2 linked regions of the Tamandua tetradactyla genome follow. The protein of the gene in region 2 interacts with the protein of the main gene of each other region in a pairwise test. Links are inferred from orthologs where the notes say so. Each region holds a gene or a part of one and is shown on either strand. Other genes may lie near its edges.

Region 1 (10,006 bases), on a different chromosome or scaffold from region 2:
CCCACTGATGTGAACCGACATTAGAGAATAAACTTGGAATATGTCATTGGTAACAGAGACCATCAGGAGGCAGAAATAGGGTAAGATAATGGGTAATTGGAGCTGAAGGGATACAGACTGTGCAACAAGATTGGATACAAAAACTCAGAAATGGACAGCACAATACTACCTAATTGTAATGTAATTATGTTAAAACACTGAATGAAGCTGCATCTGACGTATAGTTTTTTATTATTATTTTTTAATTTTTTAAATAATTTTTTTCTCTTATCGTTTTATTTCTTTTCTGTTGTCTTTCTATTTCTTGTGATATTAAGAATTACTTAATATCACAAGATATGTGATATTAAGAATTACTGATTGTATACGTAGAATGGAAAGATTTCTAAATGTTGTGTTAATTTTTTTAATTAATAAAAAAAGATTATTAATTGATCATCTTGGAGAGGCTGGTCCTCTGAGTTCCAGGATTTATCTGTCCTAAGAACCCTCCTATTTTTAAGACACAAGCCCTCTAGACCCCAAGCTTCTGGACACCCAAGTCCTCTCTAGCCTGGCCCCTTCTCTATGGTTTCCGACATAGGGCGCTCTAGCCCGCGCAAGGAATGACGGTCGGCGGCTACTCTCTAGGCTGCGGGAGGCTTCCCAAGACGCCTCTCTGGTTGCGCGGTCGGCCATGGGGGTCCTGCAGAAGGCTCTGGTCGTTGGCGCGTTGCTGGGCGTGGGAGCCGGCGTGGGCTCTGCGCTCTTTGTCCTCGTGACCCCGGGGGAGCAGCGGAAGCAGACGATGCTGAAGGTGGGATTAACTGGGGTCCCTTAGTGGGATGGGCGGGCGGAGAGCGCCGGGCTCTGCGAACCTTGCTCCTTGCCCGCAGGAGATACCGGAGAAGTATCCGCAGCGCCGGGACGAGGCGGCCAGGACCCAGGAGCTGCTGCTGTCCACGCTGCAGGAGGCAGCCGCCACGCAGGAGAACGTGGCCTGGAGGAAGAACTGGATGGAGGGCGGCGGCAGTGGGAGGTCGGCATGAGCCAGGACCTGCCCGGGTGGGCTCAGGAGGCTGAAGCGGCCTTTCTGCTCCGCGGACCGGCGGGGCGTCGCAACTCTGTGTTTGGTGCCCCGGGAGCAGCCACCGACAGGGTGAGCACATTACCCCTCCCACACCCACCTCCCGCCTCGCTGGGACCGCAGAGCCAGGAATCGGGTGTGGAGAACTGAGAGCACCAATAAATCACTTTCCCCCATCCAGAGAGTGAGCCTTGCGGTATGCGGATGACGTCTAGATTCCTTGAGCTGTGGGTTCGTTGGTCCGACGCCGGTGACTGCGGATCCCACCAGCCCCGCCCCGCATGTGTGAGGCTGAAGTCCAATGGGAGTAGCGACCACGTTTTCAAAACACTGTCAAGTCGTATGGCACAAACTTAAGTGTACTTCCCGGAGTAACCAAGCAGCGCTTTGAGATCAGAACTATCCTGGAACATCCTGTCCGGTGGACTCCATGTAGAGGACAGGCTGGGCTCCTGTCCTATGAGCCAGATAGGGCTGGAGGGCATCTAGAACTTGAATGTCATGATGCCCTCTGTGGCCGTTACATGCCCCATTTCACCTCTGGCTAATAAGGCACTCTTTAGAGAGGCTGACTTGCTAGGAGTGAAAGAAACATGCTTTGCTCTTAGGTCAGATCTTTGTTCAACTCCAGCATATCACAAAACCTCTGCACCTCAATCCTGCTGGATGAACCATGGTAACTCTAGATTAAGTTTTGTTGTTAAAAGAATTTAGAAACGTGAAGTGCAGCGACTGGCACAGAGTGAGCTGTCAGTGAAGGTAATGGTTGGTTTTGTGTTGTTTTTTTTCCTTCAAACATTTTCACCACAGTAGTTTCCAGTCTGTGAATCCAGCCATAGGATCTGTTGGATGCCACTGAGGATGTGAGATAATCTCTGGCCCTATACCAAGTCAAGTCTCTCCTCCTTTTGTCCATTTTATCTACTGTAGTTCTAAACAAGATTTTCATTAAAAAGTCTGCTTTTCCCAAATAAAGCATGGTGAGGTATAACCCATCTGTGACCACTGATGTATTCAGCTGCTTGATGGTTGAGTTTTAAGCCAAACATACTTTTATGTGCAATCTTTACAGTATAACTGCCTGCCCCTGCCCAGGAATTAGAGGATCAGCAGGTGTTTGTGGGAACACTACGGTGCATTATGAGCAGCACTGAGAAGGGTCACCATGGGAGTACCTGGCAGTTCAAAGCCTAAGCCCTGGGGTCAGGGGCTCCCTAGGTGTGTGTCCAGGTTCTACTTGCTAGCTCTGTCAGTTTGGGCAAATTATATGCTTTGCTGTCCTAAGCTCTAGAATATTGTACCTTTACCTAGATAACAGTGCTTTCCTATCCCTGTTAATACACACAAAGCACTTAAAACTGTATGTGGTACATATTAAGTAATCAACACTTTTAAGTGTTATTAGGAAAAGCACCTGGCTTGGTTGCGATGTACTCTTACAGCAGAAAAGATGCAGCTGCAAAGGTCACCCTTATGTTTCTCTCTCTCAACGTTCTTGAGTATGTCCATACTTAAATTTCTCTGTTAGAAATTATACTAATTGAGGACTTATTTGGTGCAGATGCTGTACAAAAAGTACCTTATACCAGCATTACGTATCCCTCAAAACAACCCTAAGAATCAGGTACTTTTTAAATATCTTAGTAAAGAAAAACCGATGCTTAAAAAAATCAAAGCACATAGCTAGTGGCAGAATCAATATTTCAAGCTTATGCACTGCCTCTTACCCACAGGAGCAAAAAGCACTATCCAGTCTACTTCCCACCCTCCAGCACCTCTCCTTCTCAGTCTCCCCAGCAGCTAATCAGACCCAGAGGTTAGAAACAAGTGTCTTTTGTTAGAGACTAAAGAGGAAGAGGATCTACTCCAAATGCCTTCATTTTAACTTCTACCTCTGCCTCAGTTTTGTCCCCTCATCCATTCAGGAAGGAGTCGGGCACATATAGAATTCAGAGGGTCTATTTATTAGGAAGGGGATGTCAGTGCTTTATCAAAGATGAAGAGGTCAGAGAGGGATGGTGGAATAAAGGCCCCTCAGCTGGGACATTTTTTGGCCACGATGAGGACAGCAGAAGGCACAAGTCCTGAAGATGGAAGAAAACAAGTTTGAGCCACAAAGATATCTTCTCTTTGTGCTAAAATTTCCTGGCCTTGTACCATCTCCAAAATCCCTTCTCACTACATCTCTTAACTTTCTCAGTCATACGCCCCATCCTTCAAGCCCTAGTTTCTGGTCCCATGTTCCATACCCAGCTCCTGCAGAGGCCGTTCCATGTCAGCCTCTGAGAAGGCTCGCCGAGGGAAGCCACTGAGCAACTGCACAGGGTCCTGGCCCCCTCCAGGTTCCTCTCCACGGTGAAGCTCCACATACAGCCTCACGGCTGCCAGCTGTTCCCGGGCCCGGAATGTCTGGGTCAGTGAAGTACCATCTGGCAGCCTGACCTAGAAGGTAAGGGAGACGTATGGTATCAGGGTCAAAACTAAGTGAGGTGCCCAAGGAAAAGAACAGAACAACTAAAGCTGGCTCTTGCATCCTAGAGCAACTGAACCAGCAAAATTACTATTTAAAGCACCTAATGAACAACCACTTACACTGTGCTTTACCAAGCAATGAAAATAAAGACACTCCCACCTACCACACATGATTATACAAAAATATGTAGGTAAATCACCACATTACTCACATAAGCTGTGTAATAAGCCAAACGGAAATGTAAACAAGTTAACCGGTAATTGCTGAGCAAGAGGGAAGTATGCATTTAAATAACATCAGGACAAGTGAAATTTGATCTCCTTCCTAAGAGTGGAGGAGATTGGATTTCAAAGTCATTTACAAAGAAGGGAAAGGTTTGGCAAAGGGAACATAACTGAAAAAAGCTCTGAACTGGGCACCTTACAGATCAAGGAAAGGGTCCCAAGAGTAAGACAAGAATCAGAATCAGTACCTGTATACGACACTGGTCATACTCCCGCTTGGTGGGAGGCTCCTGGCTGGGAGAGGAGGGAACAGGACCTGGCTCTGCTGCTGGTGGGGATGGCCGAGTACCCATGCTACCATACTAAAGGATAAAGTAAAATATTCCATTAGACACTCATCCACCCTAAGGAGAAACATCATACAAGTCCACCTTTTTCCTCTGAAGCTCGAAAGGGGATTTCCTAGCCCACCTACTCCAATACCATCCCCCACCCCACCCCTGTGTCTTTCTAAACACCCACCTTCTTGGCTCTCTCTGCTTTGTCCCTTTCAATCTTTTCTCGAACTCTTTGTCTGGAATATAGAAAAGAAAAAAGTAGGTCAGACAGGGATAAAGCAAATCCTGATTCCCTTCTCATCTCTTATCCAACATCCCCATCACGCAGACCTGGCTGCTAACTCTTCAGCCTTTTCCCTCCTCCTTTCCTCAGCAGCACGGCGCATCTCATCTTCCTGTAGCCGCTGTCGGGCAGCTGACAACTCCTGCCCTTGTCTCCTGCGCTGCCGTTCCCGTTCCAATGCCTCCCGCTCCTCTCTCTCTTCACGTTCCCGCTGCTTCTGGGCCACCAGCTCCAACATCCTGGGGCAGAAAGTTAAGTGCTCAAGAGAAATGGATAGTAGTGTGGGAAGGTGAGTTTATGACAAGGAAAACAAAATCAGGGAACATGTGTCCCAGGATAGATGAAAGAAACCAAAGGAAAATGCCAAGAAAGGACAGAAGGAATGTGAAGGGAAAGTCCAAGGTTCTATGACCAGACTGTGTATTGGGGAGAGGTTGAAGACAACCCTTAAAAATGGGAAGCTGTCCCTTACTGTACCTTTTAGTCTGTTCCTGTCTTTCTTCTTCACTCAAAGCAGGTTTGCCTTCTCCTGCAGCAGACCCAGGCACTACAAACAAGCAAGCAGTATTATTACCACTTCAGATCGTCCCCAGACCCTCCTGAATAACCACACTATACCCCCAGTCAGGACCTTCAGGGCCACCTTCCTCCGAGGAGGTGGCTTCCCGGCCCAGAATATGTCCAAGGGGGGTCTCTAGAGGCTCGTCCACATCGGGGTCATCTTCGTGTTCCATCAGCCTAACAGGAAGAGTCGGGAGGGAGGTTAACGGTGAGGCGGCCGCCCCTTCCCCCCTTCGCCCCTTCCCCCTAACTCCCTGCCACCCGGTCTGGGTACTCACCAGTCCATTGCAGCCTCGATGCCCTGGTTCCCTGTGAGGGCTAGAGCCTTCTCCCTGAGGGCAGAAACACCGGGAATAGCGCCCATGAGCCATGGTGACGGGCAGGCAGGGGCGCAGGCCTGAGACCGGACGGGGGTAAAGACCGGGACACGTCCACGTTCCCCGCAGCCTGGGGTTAGGGGGACTCCCTTACGCGCGTCCCCTGGGGAAGCCCATCTCGATGAGACTCTCCAGAGCCGTCAACTCCGCCATGGCGCCGCCGCCGCCGCCGCCTCCGCGGGGACCTAAGGGAACGAGTAGCGCAGGGGTAGGTGGGATCTGCACGGGACACCCCCGGCCCGCGCCCAATTCCGTTCCCCTTGTCCCCGACCAAGAATCTCCCTTACTTACCCGGCTCTGGACCCACCGCGGATACCGACGAGAAGAAAGCCGAGGGGAAACGGAAGTGCCCGGATCTGTTTGGGTCACGTGGAGGGCGGGCGTGGACGGGTGCCGAGAAGAGGCAGAAAACACGTGTCTGGCCCACCAGACCCGCAGCGCGTGGGAGTTGCTAGCGGGAGGCGGTGGTGGGGGCGCTGCGGTTTTGAAACGCTCGGACGTTAGGACGTGCGATCCCGCGGCGTAACGCTCCCTTACCCTCCTTTTTAGAAATTAGAAAGCATATGGCCCCTGAGCGCAATCAATTGGTGTATTACTTGGCAGGGTTAGCCATAGAAATGTGCACACACTTTGACCCACTGATCCTCTCCTGGGAGTTGAGCTCTTCTCCGCCCAGCTGCCAGAGGGATTTTTGCAAAACACAATATCTGATCCTGTCATCACCTCCCTGCTTATAACTTCCCCGTGACACCCCACATACCTAGGACAAAACAAATGCTTGTGCTCTTGCTTTCTCCTGCCCCACTTTTTTTTTTTTTTGATTGGAGCAGTTACAGGTTTACAGAAAAGTCATGCAGAAAGTAGAGTTTCTACAGAACCCCCCTTCTCACACACAGTTTTCTCTATTGACATTTTGTATTAATGTGGCACTTCTTTTACAATTGATGAAACAATATAGTTATGCTATTAACTTTAGCCCACTGTTTATGTTATGATTTACTCTTGTGTTGCACACTTCTATGGGTGTATGTGTGTGTGTTATATGCAACCTAAAATTTCCCGTTTTTATCCCATTTTCAAATATATAATTCAGGGGTGTCAATTACCTTCACGAAGGTGTGCCTCCGTCACCATGCCCCCCTTTTTTTTTAGGGTCCCATCTGTAAAGTGGGGTTAACAATAGGTGCCATCAAGAGAGTACAGTGTAAATGTTGGTGTAAATTATTACACAGTTTCATCTCCCACCACTTGAGGGTAACGTTCATATTGCAAAACAGAATCTCTTCCTCCTGACCTTTACACACTCTAGCCTCTTCATCTGGGATGCCTTACCTCTTCTCTAGACTAGGTTAATTCCCTGTCCTCGTTTGTCCTGACTTAACTCAAGGTTTGCTTTCTAAGGGAAGGCTGGTTTGAAACAGCTTCCCAGGCGTCCCAGCTCCACTCTTTACACCTCATTAAACTTTTATCCTCTTGTTACTAGTCATTGTTGATTAATTAGCCCTCCACCATTACTTAACCTGTTGGATCCTTGAAGGTGGAGCTGCCTTTATTGCACACAACACCTGCTACAAAGGAAGCAGACTTTAAATGTTTGTCAGGAGGCACAGCAATAACAGTTACCGATATTGATAATATATTATGACCTAGGGACTGAATAGAATCATCATAAACTCACTATGATGTAGGTACTAGTATTAGTCACTGGAAACTGAGACAAAGAACAATAAGATAATTTGCCTAAGTTCTCAAAGCAAATAAGTAGCAGAACTAGGACTCAAGCCCAAGCAGCCTGCCTTCACTAGGCCACCACTGTATGGTGGAGTGATAAGCATCAGCTTTGAAAGTATGGACCGGAATTCTAGCTGACCTCCTTAGTTGTGACTTCAAACCATTTAGAAACCCCGGGTTTCTCATCTGTGAAAAGGTGAGACCATTTCCTGGGATGATTATGGTGAAAATTAAATGAGAATGCTCGTAAAGTATGTCTTGCATAATAATGAGATAGCAGACCCTCTAGTGATTCATCAATCAGTGCTGAGGAAATACAGGAATTTTATTTAAAGGCACAAAGTATTCACTGCAGTGTGATGAGTGTATTCTAGATAAGAAATGTATTCTAAATTTATTCTAAAGGTCCAATAATAAGTTAAATTTTATCGTCCTGCTTCTTTGACCTACTTCCAGGCAAGTCTATACAGAAATACTCACACAAACATGCAAGGGTACAGAGACAAGCATGTCCATGACAAACACTGGAGGCGTCAAATGTTTTAATAAAGAGCGATGCCTAAAGTCACTTAGGGAGCATTCTCTTATGGAAAGCTGGGCAGCTTTTGACATAACTAGGGAAGCTCTGATTTACCAAGATGGAATGGACAACATAATTTAATATTTCCAATTGGTAATATTTAATATTTAATATTACCAATAAAAGGTAATACTCTCATTGAAGAGAGAAAAGTCTACTCTGAGAACTTTCACTTTATACTCTTTGATTTTACTTGAAATTTCTATAAGTATCACTTATAATTAAATATGCATACACATATGTATACACGCAATGAGTAAAAGTGAGGCTTATACCACGTAGCAGCATAAAACAGATTTTTCTACATCCAATTAATTTAAAAATAAAATCAAAAGTATGTCTACTTACTCTGAAAAGAAACAGTTATATGAATAGGGAATTGAAAAGATCATCCAAAAAATGAAAATGTCTTCTAGTTTCCTTTAATGTTGTTATAAGGGGCATACAGTGGGTGTACAGTAGTGTGGGGATTTTACCAGTTGAGATGCAGGCTGGTCACAAATAGCAGCTGGGCCATCCTTTATTCTCCACTCCATGTCAGTCATTTATTTCCACCATCAGCAGACACGGGTGGACTCTGATACAGGTATGTTCATCCTCAATAATTAAACAAAAGGCCGAAGGAGAAGAGGGTGGCCCCAAACTCCCAACCTCCTGAAGCTTATTCTCAATATGCCATGGACGCCACGTAAAGTGGCAGACCCCAGACCCCATCTGAAGGCCTATGATGGGGGTGGACTAACTACAGCCGGATCCCAGGTCTGATTTGTAAGGCCCACCCGCTAAGAATGTTTTTTTTCTTTTGACATTTTCAATGGCTACATGTTACATGCTTATACGAGTATGAGCATAATATCTGGGATTTTTGTCCTCCTGGACCACCGCAAAGCCGGAATTAGTTATTATCTGGCCCTTTATGAGAAAAGCACTGACCCTCTATGGTCCCTCCTAAACTTGAATCAGAATTCAAGCGAAGTCTGGAATCTAAGCAAGCTTTCAGAGTAGAGATCTGAGAGTCCGCTCTAGGGCTCCCAGCTCAGTGGGTGGCTTTCTGCCCCGCCGTCCAGCCTGAGCAGGGCAGCAGCCGGGCCCTCACCAGCTCCTGCCCTGGATCTGGGGCCAAGCTCTCCAGGTAGAAGCTTGGCTTTGCAGGATATGCTCCCCAGGTCCCTTTCAGAGCCTCTGCTGGGCTTGTATGGCCCCTCGCCGGGGGCAGCCGCAGTGCTGGCGCAGGTAGAAGTGCCAGACCAGGGCTGAGCAGCTGAGCAGGGCCAGGGCTGTGCCCACCCCCACGGCCGCATGGATCAGGGTGAGGGGTCTGGGGGGCATGGTGAACCGGCCGCAAGGCCCGAAGGCAGGGTCTCCTGCCACCTCAAGGCCCTCCCTTCCTGCCTTGGGCACTGTGCTTTCTCCGGCGTCGTTGGAAGCCACCACGCAAACGACATAAGCACCCCCGGGGTTCAGTCCGTTCAGTTCTGCTTTTCGGACGGTCGAATTCAGGGGCGCGCCCTGCTGGGGAGCCCTGCTGCCTTCCGAAAGCAGCAGCCAGTATTGGTGGACCGGGGAGAAGGGGGCACACCACCGGATGACGGCGCGGCCCTCCTCGGCCACTGTTTGTACTTCCCCCAGGCGTGGCGGGTCAGGCGGCTGGGCAGGGCTGGAGAGCCCTGGGCACAGGCAAGCGGTGGGTCCAGCCTGCTGCAGCTCGTGGCAGGGCACCTGCAGGTGGCGGCAGCGGTCATAGTCGCAGGGGACAGGTGGCAAAGGTGACCACAGGGTCTCATTTTCCTCCTCTTCCTGGAAATCTCGAGGAGCCAAGGGCTGGGCTCCAGGAACCAAGGAGAGAGTCACAGCCAGGAGCCACAGATACAGATGATGGGGAGAGCCCGACATGGGGTCTGGAAAGGAAGGAGGTGAGTGGGGAAGGGTTCACCCCCATGCTTTCCAGGGCCTCTGGGCCAACCGAACCTCTGCAGATGGGGAAGCGCAAGTAGGGGCCGAGATGGGAATAACAGAGAGGTGGGAATGAGACAGACACATTTCTTTGTCCCCCGACCTCTGAATCCAGACAGTGTGCCTTGGTTTGGGATGGGAAAGAATAAAATATGGTCTGCTACACGAGAGGATCAGAGAAGACGTGAGACCAGCGATGCACGGAGTGGGTGAAACAGTTAATGAACAAGCAAGGTGCTGGGGGAAAGGTGGCACTGATGGACTCAGCCCAGTGAAGAGAATAATTTCCAGAAAAAAGAGCTTAGGCAAACAAATATCAGCCAATAACCTATGTGTAACCCAGAGAGGAGGCAGAGTGAGAAGTGAGGAAAAGATGGAAAGGGGAGGGAAGTAAGGGCCCTGGGATCCTCGCTCCCCACC
Region 2 (10,006 bases):
CAAAGTAGCAGGTTACAAGATCAACATTCAAAAATCTGTAGCATTTCTATACACGAGCAATGAACAAGCTGAGGGGGAAATCAAGAAACAAATTCCATTTACAATTGCAACTAAAAGAATAAAATACCTAGGAACAAATTTAACTAAAGAGACAAAACATCTATACAAAGAAAACTACAAAAAACTGTTAAAAGAAATCACAGAAGACCTAAATAGATGGAAGGGCATACCGTGTTCATGGATTGGAAGACTAAATATAGTTAAGATGTCAATCCTACCTAAATTGATTTACAGATTCAATGCAATACCAATCAAAATCCCAACAACTTATTTTTCAGAAACAGAAACACCAATAAGCAAATTTATCTGGAAGGGCAGGGTGCCCCGAATTGTTAAAAGTATCTTGAGGAAAAAAAACGAAGCTGGAGGTCTCACGCAGCAGGACTTTAAGGCATATTATGAAGCCACAGTGGTCAAAACAGCATGGTATTGGCATAAAGATAGATATATCGACCAATGGAATCGAATAGAGTGCTCAGAAATAGACCCTCTCATCTACGGACATTTGATCTTTGATAAGGCAGTCAAGCCAATTCACCTGGGACAGAACAGTCTCTTCAATAAATGGTGCCTAGAGAACTGGATATCCATATGCAAAAGAATGAAAGAGGACCCGTATCTCACACCCTATACAAAAGTTAACTCAAAATGGATCGAAGATCTAAACATTAGATCTAAGACCATAAAACAGAGGAAAATGTAGGGAGATATCTTATGAAACTTACAATTGGAGGCGGTTTTATGGACCTTAAACCTAAAGCAAGAGCACTGAAGAAGGAAATAAATAAATGGGAGCTCCTCAAAATTAAACACTTTTGTGCATCAAAGAACTTCATCAAGAAAGTAGAAAGACAGCCTATACAATGGGAGACAATATTTGGAAATGACATATCAGATAAAGGTCTAGTATCCAGAATTTATAAAGAGATTGTTCAACTCAACAACAAAAAGACAGCCAACCCAATTACAAAATGGGAAAAAGACTTGAACAGACACTTACCAGAAGAGGAAATACAAAGGGCCAAAAGGCACATGAAGAGATGCTCAATGTCCCTGGCCATTAGAGAAATGCAAATCAAAACCACAATGAGATATCATCTCACACCCACCAGAATGGCCATTATCAACAAAACAGAAAATGACAAGTGCTGGAGAGGATGCGGAGAAAGAGGCACACTTATCCACTGTTGGTGGGAATGTCAAATGGTGCAACCACTGTGGAAGGCAGTTTGGCGGTTCTTCAAAAAACTGAATATAGAATTGCCATACGACCCAGCAATACCATTGCTAGGTATCTACTCAAAGGACTTAAGGGCAAAGACACAAACGGACATTTGCACACCAATGTTTATAGCAGCATTATTTACAATTGCAAAGAGATGGAAACAGCCGAAATCTCCATCAACAGACGAGTGGCTAAACAAACTGTGGTATATACATACGATGGAATATTATGCAGCTTTAAGACAGAATAAACCTATGAAGCATGTAATAACATGGATGAACCTAGAAAACATTATGTTGAGTGAGTCTAGCCAAAACTAAAGGACAAATACTGTATGGTCCCACTGATGTGAACCGACATTAGAGAATAAACTTGGAATATGTCATTGGTAACAGAGACCAGCAGGAGTTAGAAACAGGGTAGGATAATGGGTAATTGGAGCTGAAGGGATACAGACTGTGCAACAGGACTAGATACAAAAACTCAAAAATGGACCGCACAATAATACTTAATTGTAATGTAATTATGTTAAAACACTGAATGAAGCTGCATCTGAGCTATAGTTTTTTTGTTTGTTTGTTTGTGTCTTTTGTTTTTTCTTTTTCCTTTTTTATATAAATTTTTTTATTTTTTATTATTATTATTATTATTTTATTTTTTCTCTATATTAACATTCTGTATCTTTTTCTGTTGTTTTGCTAGTTCTTTTCCTAAATCGATGCAAATGTACTAAGGAATGATGATCATACATCTATATGATGATATTAAGAATTACTGATTGCATATGTAGAATGGAATGATTTCTAAATGTTGTGTTAATTTTTTTTTCTTTCCGTTAATTAAAAAAAAAAAAAAAACTTATGTCTCTCCATTCTGAAGGAACTTTGGAAGTTCAGAGACTGTTTGGGTTTTCAGTGGTTTATGCAATACTAGGTATCCAGGTTAGTCTATCCTAGAATAGACTATTTCTGCTTTGCTGAAACCAAATTCCATCATTCCCAGTTCATCCCTATACTTACTACCCTGATCTAGAAACACATCAACAATATACATAGGAAAACAAATTTCATTTACTACTTGTCTCCGAACATTTTATAGGACATCATCAACTTTATTAATACAACATGAAATAAAAATTGTCAGGCTATCGTCTTGATGACACTTGTCACAACACTGAAGATATGATTAGGATACTCTAGATGGGATGCACAAGCCGTCCATTACCCAGGGACTCTGAGACTTCTTAACCTGAGCAGTTGGAAATGAGGTTAAAAGTCTTATCTTGCTAACTTTCACATCATCTACTATCTAGCACTGTGCCTGATACAATGCAGGCTTTCAGTAGGTGTTAGTACAATAAATACAGGAATGAATTTTGAAAACTAAAACAAACAAACAATACTAATTAAATGAAAAGAACCAATTTGCAAATAAAGGCTCATTTCAGCTGAAAGTTCTCAAGTCCTTGGTAAATGCAACCACTTCAGTGATTTAAACTCTTTGTCAATCTAGCACAGTACCACGAAATATGTAAAAGTTTAATGAGAGGAATCAACTACAATAGGCATTCTTTGTTATTAAATATTCTTTTACTAGGCTCAATTTCAAAAGTACATGTTTAATTAATAATTGTATTCAAATACACACAAAAAATTAGGTACTGGTATTACTAGTGGTTTGGAATATCATAGAATCTTAGAGTTGGAATGGAAGAGACTTTTACAAGTCATCTTGTCCAATTCAATACAGGAGTCTGTTCTATAATGCTAATTTAGTCTACAATCATGTCTTGGACGCACTCACTCCAAAAAACCTCCAAACATATCTGCTTCTACACTTCCAGCAGCTAGCAGAAACTTTTCAGCAGGTAAATTAGATCATGCTGCTCCCTGCTTAAAACTCTTTGAAGGCTTCCCCTTACATACTCCTCTCCTCCCTCCCATTAGTCCCCATACTATGGCATGACATGGTTCCTGCCAGCTTCTAAGACCTGCCCTCACCTCACCATTCATTTCCCTCCAGTCACACAGGAACTTCCCTCTTTCCTAATCTGATATTTCCATGTTTGCTACTGCTGTCAAAAGTGCTCTTTCATAATGATTCTCCCCATTCTCACTTCCATGATCAGCTCCACCTCATCCTTCAGGTGCTAGCTTAAAGAGACTTGCATCCTTAATTATAGATATATTTGTTTTCTACAAAGTATATATGTCAACCTATAACTATTATTTGCTTGTTTTTTGATCCTTTTCCCCTACCAAACCATACGCTAGCCCCATAAACACAGGGACCTTATGTATCTTATTATTTCTTGTCGCCATCTCAAAACGAGGAAATAAGAGACATTCAATGAAGACGTTTTCAGCTGAACTCATTAAAGGTCTCACAAACGCTGAGTGACCTTTAATGAAACCTCTATAGTGACGGGAGATTTGCTACATGACAAAGTAACTCATGCCAATTTTAGTTGTTCACCTCTTTTTTTTTCCCCTGAACTAAAATCTGCCTTCTATATCTTAAATTTCCAACAACCGTCAGCCAAATAAGGGCTGAACCTCTTAACCTGACCTGGACTAGAGCAGTTAAGCTTTTTTGATTCACCGAAGTCTTCAACAATCTTTTAATAGCAAGGGACACTCTCAAGCAAACAGCACATCCCCACATATTCATAATATTTCAAGGGTTTCATCTACTCCCAAGCCCATCACAAAATCCAGATTAAGATACTCTCACCTGCACACCTAGAAGCGACAATGCAACTTTTTGCAATGCAGTTTTTGACAACTAAGGTTTTCAAAAATTAAATGTGAGAGGAAACTGCAGAAAAAATTCTAGAGGCAATTATATGCCGGGGGTTTTCACAAAGTTTCATTTTGGAAGGATCACCTGGCATCAATAAATCTTCGACTCTAAAAGAAATTTGGGAGCTCACAACCCAGAAGTCCCTCACTTTCAAATAAGGCCCCCCAAAATAAAAGGCTCGTCCAAGAACACCCACTCGTTAGTAGCAAAGTTAGGAAAAGAAGGCAGGTCTCTGGTACCCCCATCTAATGTGATCTATCCACTTAAATTTCGCTGGTTTCTTACACTGCATGCTCAGCCAGCCAGTGCTCTCAAACCTGGGAGGGAGCAAGTTGCAGGCAAAGGAAACTTTACTGGTTTAGGAGAGAGGGAGAGGACAGGAGAGAGGAGGGCAGGGTTTGGGGCAGCTCGACACGCAGCGCTCACCTGTCTGGGGTCCAGAGGCGGGTGGTGCGGTCTCGGGACACGGACACAAAGGCCCCCGGCGGATAGAGGCAGCACACCAGGCCCCGCACGTCCAGCTCGTGGCCCCGGAGCGAGCAGCTCAGCCGGTACCTGGCGGCCCCGCTCGCCATGGCCTGCTTCGGTCCCGCACCGCGAGGTCCGGATAACGCGCGAGATCAGTCCGCAGGGGATGCCGGGCCTGCGCCGAGCAGCAGTGGGAGAGGGAGCTGCAGGTGAGGGCGGTGGAGACCGGAAGAGACCGAAAGCCGGTGCGGAAGGGCAGCGGGAAGGGGGCGCCTCGAATAGGCCCAGTGACACAGCAACCCTGACATGCACACCGGAATTTATCGTCGGCCTCAGTCCTCCGTGACGCAAAGCGTGTGCGCCCCCGTCTGAGGCTCGGTTCTCTCCAGAGCTTGGGACCGTCAGCGGAGGAAGAGATGAGGTCACTGTTTGTCCAGCCTAGACGCCCAAGCCCGGGGTCCTTCCCGACCCGGAGCAGCGCTGTTTGTTGTAAATCGCGAGCCAGGACTACAGATCCCACAATGCCACGCGCTGGTAGGGCATACGCATCCGGAGCTACGAGTTCCGCTCTTTTAAATCTTGGGGTCCTGCGCTGCGTACCGCGGAGTGGCGGAGTGAGATTATTTGGTTAGTTCGGTTTCCCCAATGCTTCTCTCCCTGTCTTACAGAAATTGTCACTAATTAAACGTTGCTTTTCGGTTACAACGAGAAATCTTGAGAACCATTAATCGCTTGCCTTCTGTTAGTTGTATGCTTCCCGAACTCATAAATCGGAAACAGAATGACCTTTAAAGAGGGAATGTAATAAATTACAAATTTACAGTTCTAAGGAAGTCTTAAGTGTCCAAATTAAGGCACCAATAAGAGGTGATGTGTCTGGACACCTAAGTCAGCTGGTAGTCAGGAGGCTGGCATCTGCTGGTCCCTTGCTCCTGGGCTCTGTTGCTTTCAGCTTCTGTTCCTCTGAGGGTTCCTCACTTTGCTTCTCTGGGGCTGGCTTTCATCTCTTGGGTTCCCTTGGCTCTTTCTAGGTTCTGACTTGCTTAATATTGCATGATGATGTCTGCTGGACTTCAGACATCTTCAAACATCTGTATCTCTGTTCTCTGAAGCAACTTTTGTCCAAGCATCTACATCTGCTTTCTCTGTCAGTTCTGAGGCTTCTGTCATTTCTGAATTGCTCCAAAATATTTCCTCTTTTAAAGAGTTCTAGGAAACTAATCAAACCCACCTTGAATGGGTGGAGTCACATCTCCACAATTAGACATGTAACATCTCTATGGAGATAATCAAATCAGAAGTAGAGAATTTTGTACAATAGAGAATTAGTATTATAAGAAATGACTGCCCCCTCCTCCTCCAAGATTGAATCAATATTAAGACATGGCTTTTCTGGAGTACATGATACTTTCAAACCGGTACAGCTTTGTTATCCCATTTTCTGCCCTCCATCAAGTTTAGAGAATAATTCAGCAGTAGACACCAGTTCTTTTCAAATGTGCAGGCTTAAATCCTCTAGAGGCTTATTAAAATACAGACACTGATTTTGTAAACCTGCACCGGGCTGTGAATATATATTTTTAACCAGCCTCAGTAAATGTTGCTGCTTAATGGACCGTGCTAAATAGGGAAAATATACATCACCTGTCTCCATATTTCCAATTTCCACTTACCATTCTGTCCACTGTTCTCTTGCATTCAAGTACACTTCTCCACAAACCCCTCTTAATCACTAAATCCAACGCACTTTTCTGACCTTTCCCTTCTTGAAACTTCTTTAGATTGCAGCCCACTGCTACTTTGGTTTCTGTTCCTCTGACGTGAACTCTGAAATGTTGACCTTTTACTACCTAACTTCTGTCATTTTACTCTCCCTGGGTAGACCATTTACTACTTTGCATATTCTAAAGCTATACCTCCAGACCTGTATTTCCAGCTATCAAAAATCTTCCTTGGTTATCTCTTGCGTCAATTATTTTACTACTCTCTAGCTCTTGAATTATTTCAACATTCTCTAGCCTTTCTGCCCCTTCTCTCCAACCAATCCTGCACATTAAAATAAGATTATCTTTCTAGAAACTAAATTTAATTTTTCTCTTCTCAATAACTTCTCATGTCTGCCCATTCTTATGTTAAACAGTATACAAGACCTTTAACACTATCTCCCCAAATATTTTACTAGATTCATCTCCCTCCATTTTCTCTACTGAACCCCTTATCCCAGCCACATTAAATTTCTCCCATTCTCTAAGCATATTATGCTCTTTCATGTCTCCAGGCTCTTTGTACATCCTCTTTTTCTCTTTTTTAAACTGGAATGCCACTCTTTCTCTACCTGGCTTATTTCAACACCAGTTTAATTATCATATGGTTCCTTCTGGTTTCTCTGTGGAACCCAATCTAATTTCCTGTATCTTTGTTATAGCATTTACTGTATTCTAATACATTCATTTCTGTCTTTGTCTTTCCTATCAGACTAAATTTTTCTGAGGATCAGTAATGGCTTTCTTTCCTTTGAATTCGCAGCATCCAGTTTAGTGACTCACACATAACAAGTCCTCAGCAAATGTTTTCCACTTTGTACAGTATTTAGTGTAAAGGCAATTTTCACAGTCTCTCATTTAATCCTTAGAATTGTTACCATCAGAAAATGAGGTTTTCAATAGTTAGGCCCACCTGATCCTGCATCAAACAGAGAAACAAGTTTCTTTGTTTTGGTGAGAAGGTGTGTTTTATTACAGGAGGAACTGGAGGAGATATTTTTTTCCAAGACCAGTTTTGGCTTTTATAACCCTATACAGACAAAGAAATACCCAGGATCAAGAAGAAAGCAGGGAAAAGAAAAAAAAAAGAAGGGAGGAAGGGTGGGAGTGAGGCAGGTAGGAAGGAAGGAAGGGAGGGAGGAAAAGGAAAGAAAGCAAATGTACCAGTTTAAAAGGATTTATGTACCCTAGAAAAGCCATGTTTTAATCTAATCAATCTTGTGGGAGTAAGAGTTTCTTCTAATCCCTATTCAGTACTGTACGTTGGAAACTTGTTTAAGTTATCTCCACAGAGATGTGACTCACCCAATTGTGAGTATTAACTTTTAAATAGAGAGGTGACTCCACCCATTACAGGTGGGGCTTGATTACCTTACTGGAATCCTTTAAAAGAGGAAGCATTTTGGAGAAAGCTTGAGAATGATGAGAGCAGCAGAGACACTAGAACTACAGAGGCCACCAACCAGCGACCTTTTGAAGTGAAGGAAAATGCTCCTAGGGGAGCTTCATGAAGCAAGAGGCCTGGAGGGGAAGCTAGAAGATGTAGCCATGTTCACCATGTGCCTTTACAGTTGCGAAAGAAACTCTGAACTTCGACAGCCTTCCTTGAGTGAAAGTGGCCTCTTCTTAGTGCCTTAATTTGGACATTTTTATAGACTTGCTTGAATTGGGACATTTTCTCAACCTTGGAACTGTAAACTAGCAACTCATTAAATTTCCCTTTTTAAAAGCCATTCCTGTCCCGGTATATTGCATTCTGATGGCTAGCAAACTAGAACAACAAGAAAATAGGAGTTAGGCCCAAGATGGTGGCTTAGTGAGGTGTGGAATTTAGTTCGTCCTCCAGAGCAGTTAGTAAACAGCCAGGGACAGTACAGAACAAGAGCTGGGGCCACATCAGTGACCAGCCTGGACAAGCTGGACCAGCTGCAATCCCACCCAGAATCATGAGACCCCCAAGCTGCGGCAGCCGGTGACCCTCCCCCACAGGCTGGCTTCTAGAGGGGAAAAAGACTTTACTAACAGCAAAGGGCTGAGCTCAACTTATCTCCAGTTGTGGAATTAATTAACAAATTCTGACTACTAAATAGAACCTCAGCTTAGCTGAACCTCCAGTAAAAGCTGAGGCTGCTGGTTTTTGCCCTGGCACAGAGGGGACAGGGCTATCAGAAAAACGAAAAAGAAAAAAGAAAAAACAGAGGTCTTTTCAGGTTGGACAACACAAAATACTTGAAAGGATCTGGGTCCTGAAGGAAAGGAGGGGGCACATAGGACTGGAGATACAGAGAGTAACATACCAATTTAAGGTCTTGACTGGCAAACCCAAGGAATGGGGGTCCAGCTCTGAAAAGGATTATATTTTGTTTTCTTTTATGTGGCTGTGTTTCTATGGCTTGACTGCTCTTTGGATACAACTGCCCCAGGCAAGGGTGGAATTAAATTTATCTAAGAGGCAAAGAGGCTGGTCAGGTGAAAGGAAGTAATTCCCTGGAGGCTGTGCCTTCCCCAGGAGAGGGTGGGGCACAGCACAGGTGGAATCCCTCGCCCAAGGAATTAAGGCCCCCAGGGTCTGGAAAACTGAAGCCATTAAAGTCAGACTAAAATCTCTTCTCTGTATCAACCATGCTCCAGAAAGAAGAGTCTGCTGAAGTTAAAGGTACTTAACTTCATCACTTTATGCTGGTGGGACCTGCAGGCAGACAAGCACCACATACTGGACAGGACAGGAAAAACACAGAGTCTAGAGGCTTCCTGGGAAGGATTTTCAACCCACTGGGTCTCATCCTCAGGAGAAACTGATGCAGATGACTCTTTCCTCCTGAGAAGAGGCCAGTCTGGTATGGGACAATCTGACGGGTCAATAATACCTAAGTGGACCTTCCTAAGGGGGAAAAAAAGGCACCATACAGGCAGGGCAAGAAACAAGAACTGAAAAATTGTGATCTGTTAAACAACAAAACCTAAGTTAGAGGTCCAGAATAAAGCAGAACTAAATGTCAAAGAACAGATAAACAACAAAGTCATCCATCAAGAAAATTCTAGGTAAAAAAGTGAAAACAACTCCAGAATAAACTAATTAAGGAAATTGAATGTCTAGACACCAGCAAAAAATAGTGAAACATACTAGGAAAATTGAAGATATGGCCCAGTCAAAGGAACAAACCAACAATTCAAATGACATACAGGAGCTGAAACAATTAATTCAGAATGTACGAACAGACATGGAAAAACCTCATAAAAATCAAATCAACAAATTGAAGAAGAATATAAAAAAGTTAAGGGATGAACAAAAAGAAATCAAAAGTCTGAAAAAAAATCACAGAATTTATGAGAATGAAAGGGACAGTAGAAGAGATTTAAAAAAAAAAGGAAACTTACAATGTTAGATTTCAAGAGGCAGAAGATAGGATTAGTGAGCTGGAGGAGGGGACATCTGAAATATGACAATCAAAAGAAAATATAGGGAAAAGAATGGAAAAATATGAACAGGGACACAGGGAACTGAATGACAACATGATGCATATTAATATATGTGTTGTGGATGTCCCAGAAGGAAAAGAGAAGGGAAAAAGAGAAAAACCAATAGAGGAAATTATCACTGAAAATTTCCCAACCCTTATGAAAGACTTAAAATTATAGATCCAAGAAGTGCAGTGTATCCCAAACAGAATAGCTCCAAATAGATGTA

What was found.
Region 1: the proteins of PLAA (region 2) and UBXN1 interact in binary tests that used the Homo sapiens proteins (3 or more experiments, as listed by UniProt). The two-hybrid records come from large-scale screens. The link is inferred for Tamandua tetradactyla from reciprocal best matches to the Homo sapiens genes PLAA and UBXN1.

What each region holds. Positions count from the first base shown.
Region 1 is NC_135335.1:11,895,921-11,905,926, reverse strand, and holds UBXN1 (UBX domain-containing protein 1), read right to left. Parts: upstream 5,742-10,006; 5' UTR 5,614-5,741; intron 5,508-5,613; 5' UTR 5,476-5,507; coding exon 5,417-5,475; intron 5,278-5,416; coding exon 5,224-5,277; intron 5,123-5,223; coding exon 5,016-5,122; intron 4,932-5,015; coding exon 4,862-4,931; intron 4,624-4,861; coding exon 4,432-4,623; intron 4,338-4,431; coding exon 4,286-4,337; intron 4,126-4,285; coding exon 4,012-4,125; intron 3,509-4,011; coding exon 3,316-3,508; intron 3,151-3,315; coding exon 3,101-3,150; 3' UTR 3,010-3,100; downstream 1-3,009. Other genes in the region: UQCC3 (ubiquinol-cytochrome-c reductase complex assembly factor 3), read left to right, coding at 677-796, 876-1,028; LRRN4CL (LRRN4 C-terminal-like protein), read right to left, coding at 8,807-9,526.
Region 2 is NC_135328.1:69,353,949-69,363,954, reverse strand, and holds the start of PLAA (phospholipase A-2-activating protein), read right to left. Parts: upstream 5,073-10,006; 5' UTR 4,663-5,072; coding exon 4,514-4,662; intron 1-4,513. UniProt on the Homo sapiens protein: Plays a role in protein ubiquitination, sorting and degradation through its association with VCP. Involved in ubiquitin-mediated membrane proteins trafficking to late endosomes in an ESCRT-dependent manner, and hence plays a role in synaptic vesicle recycling.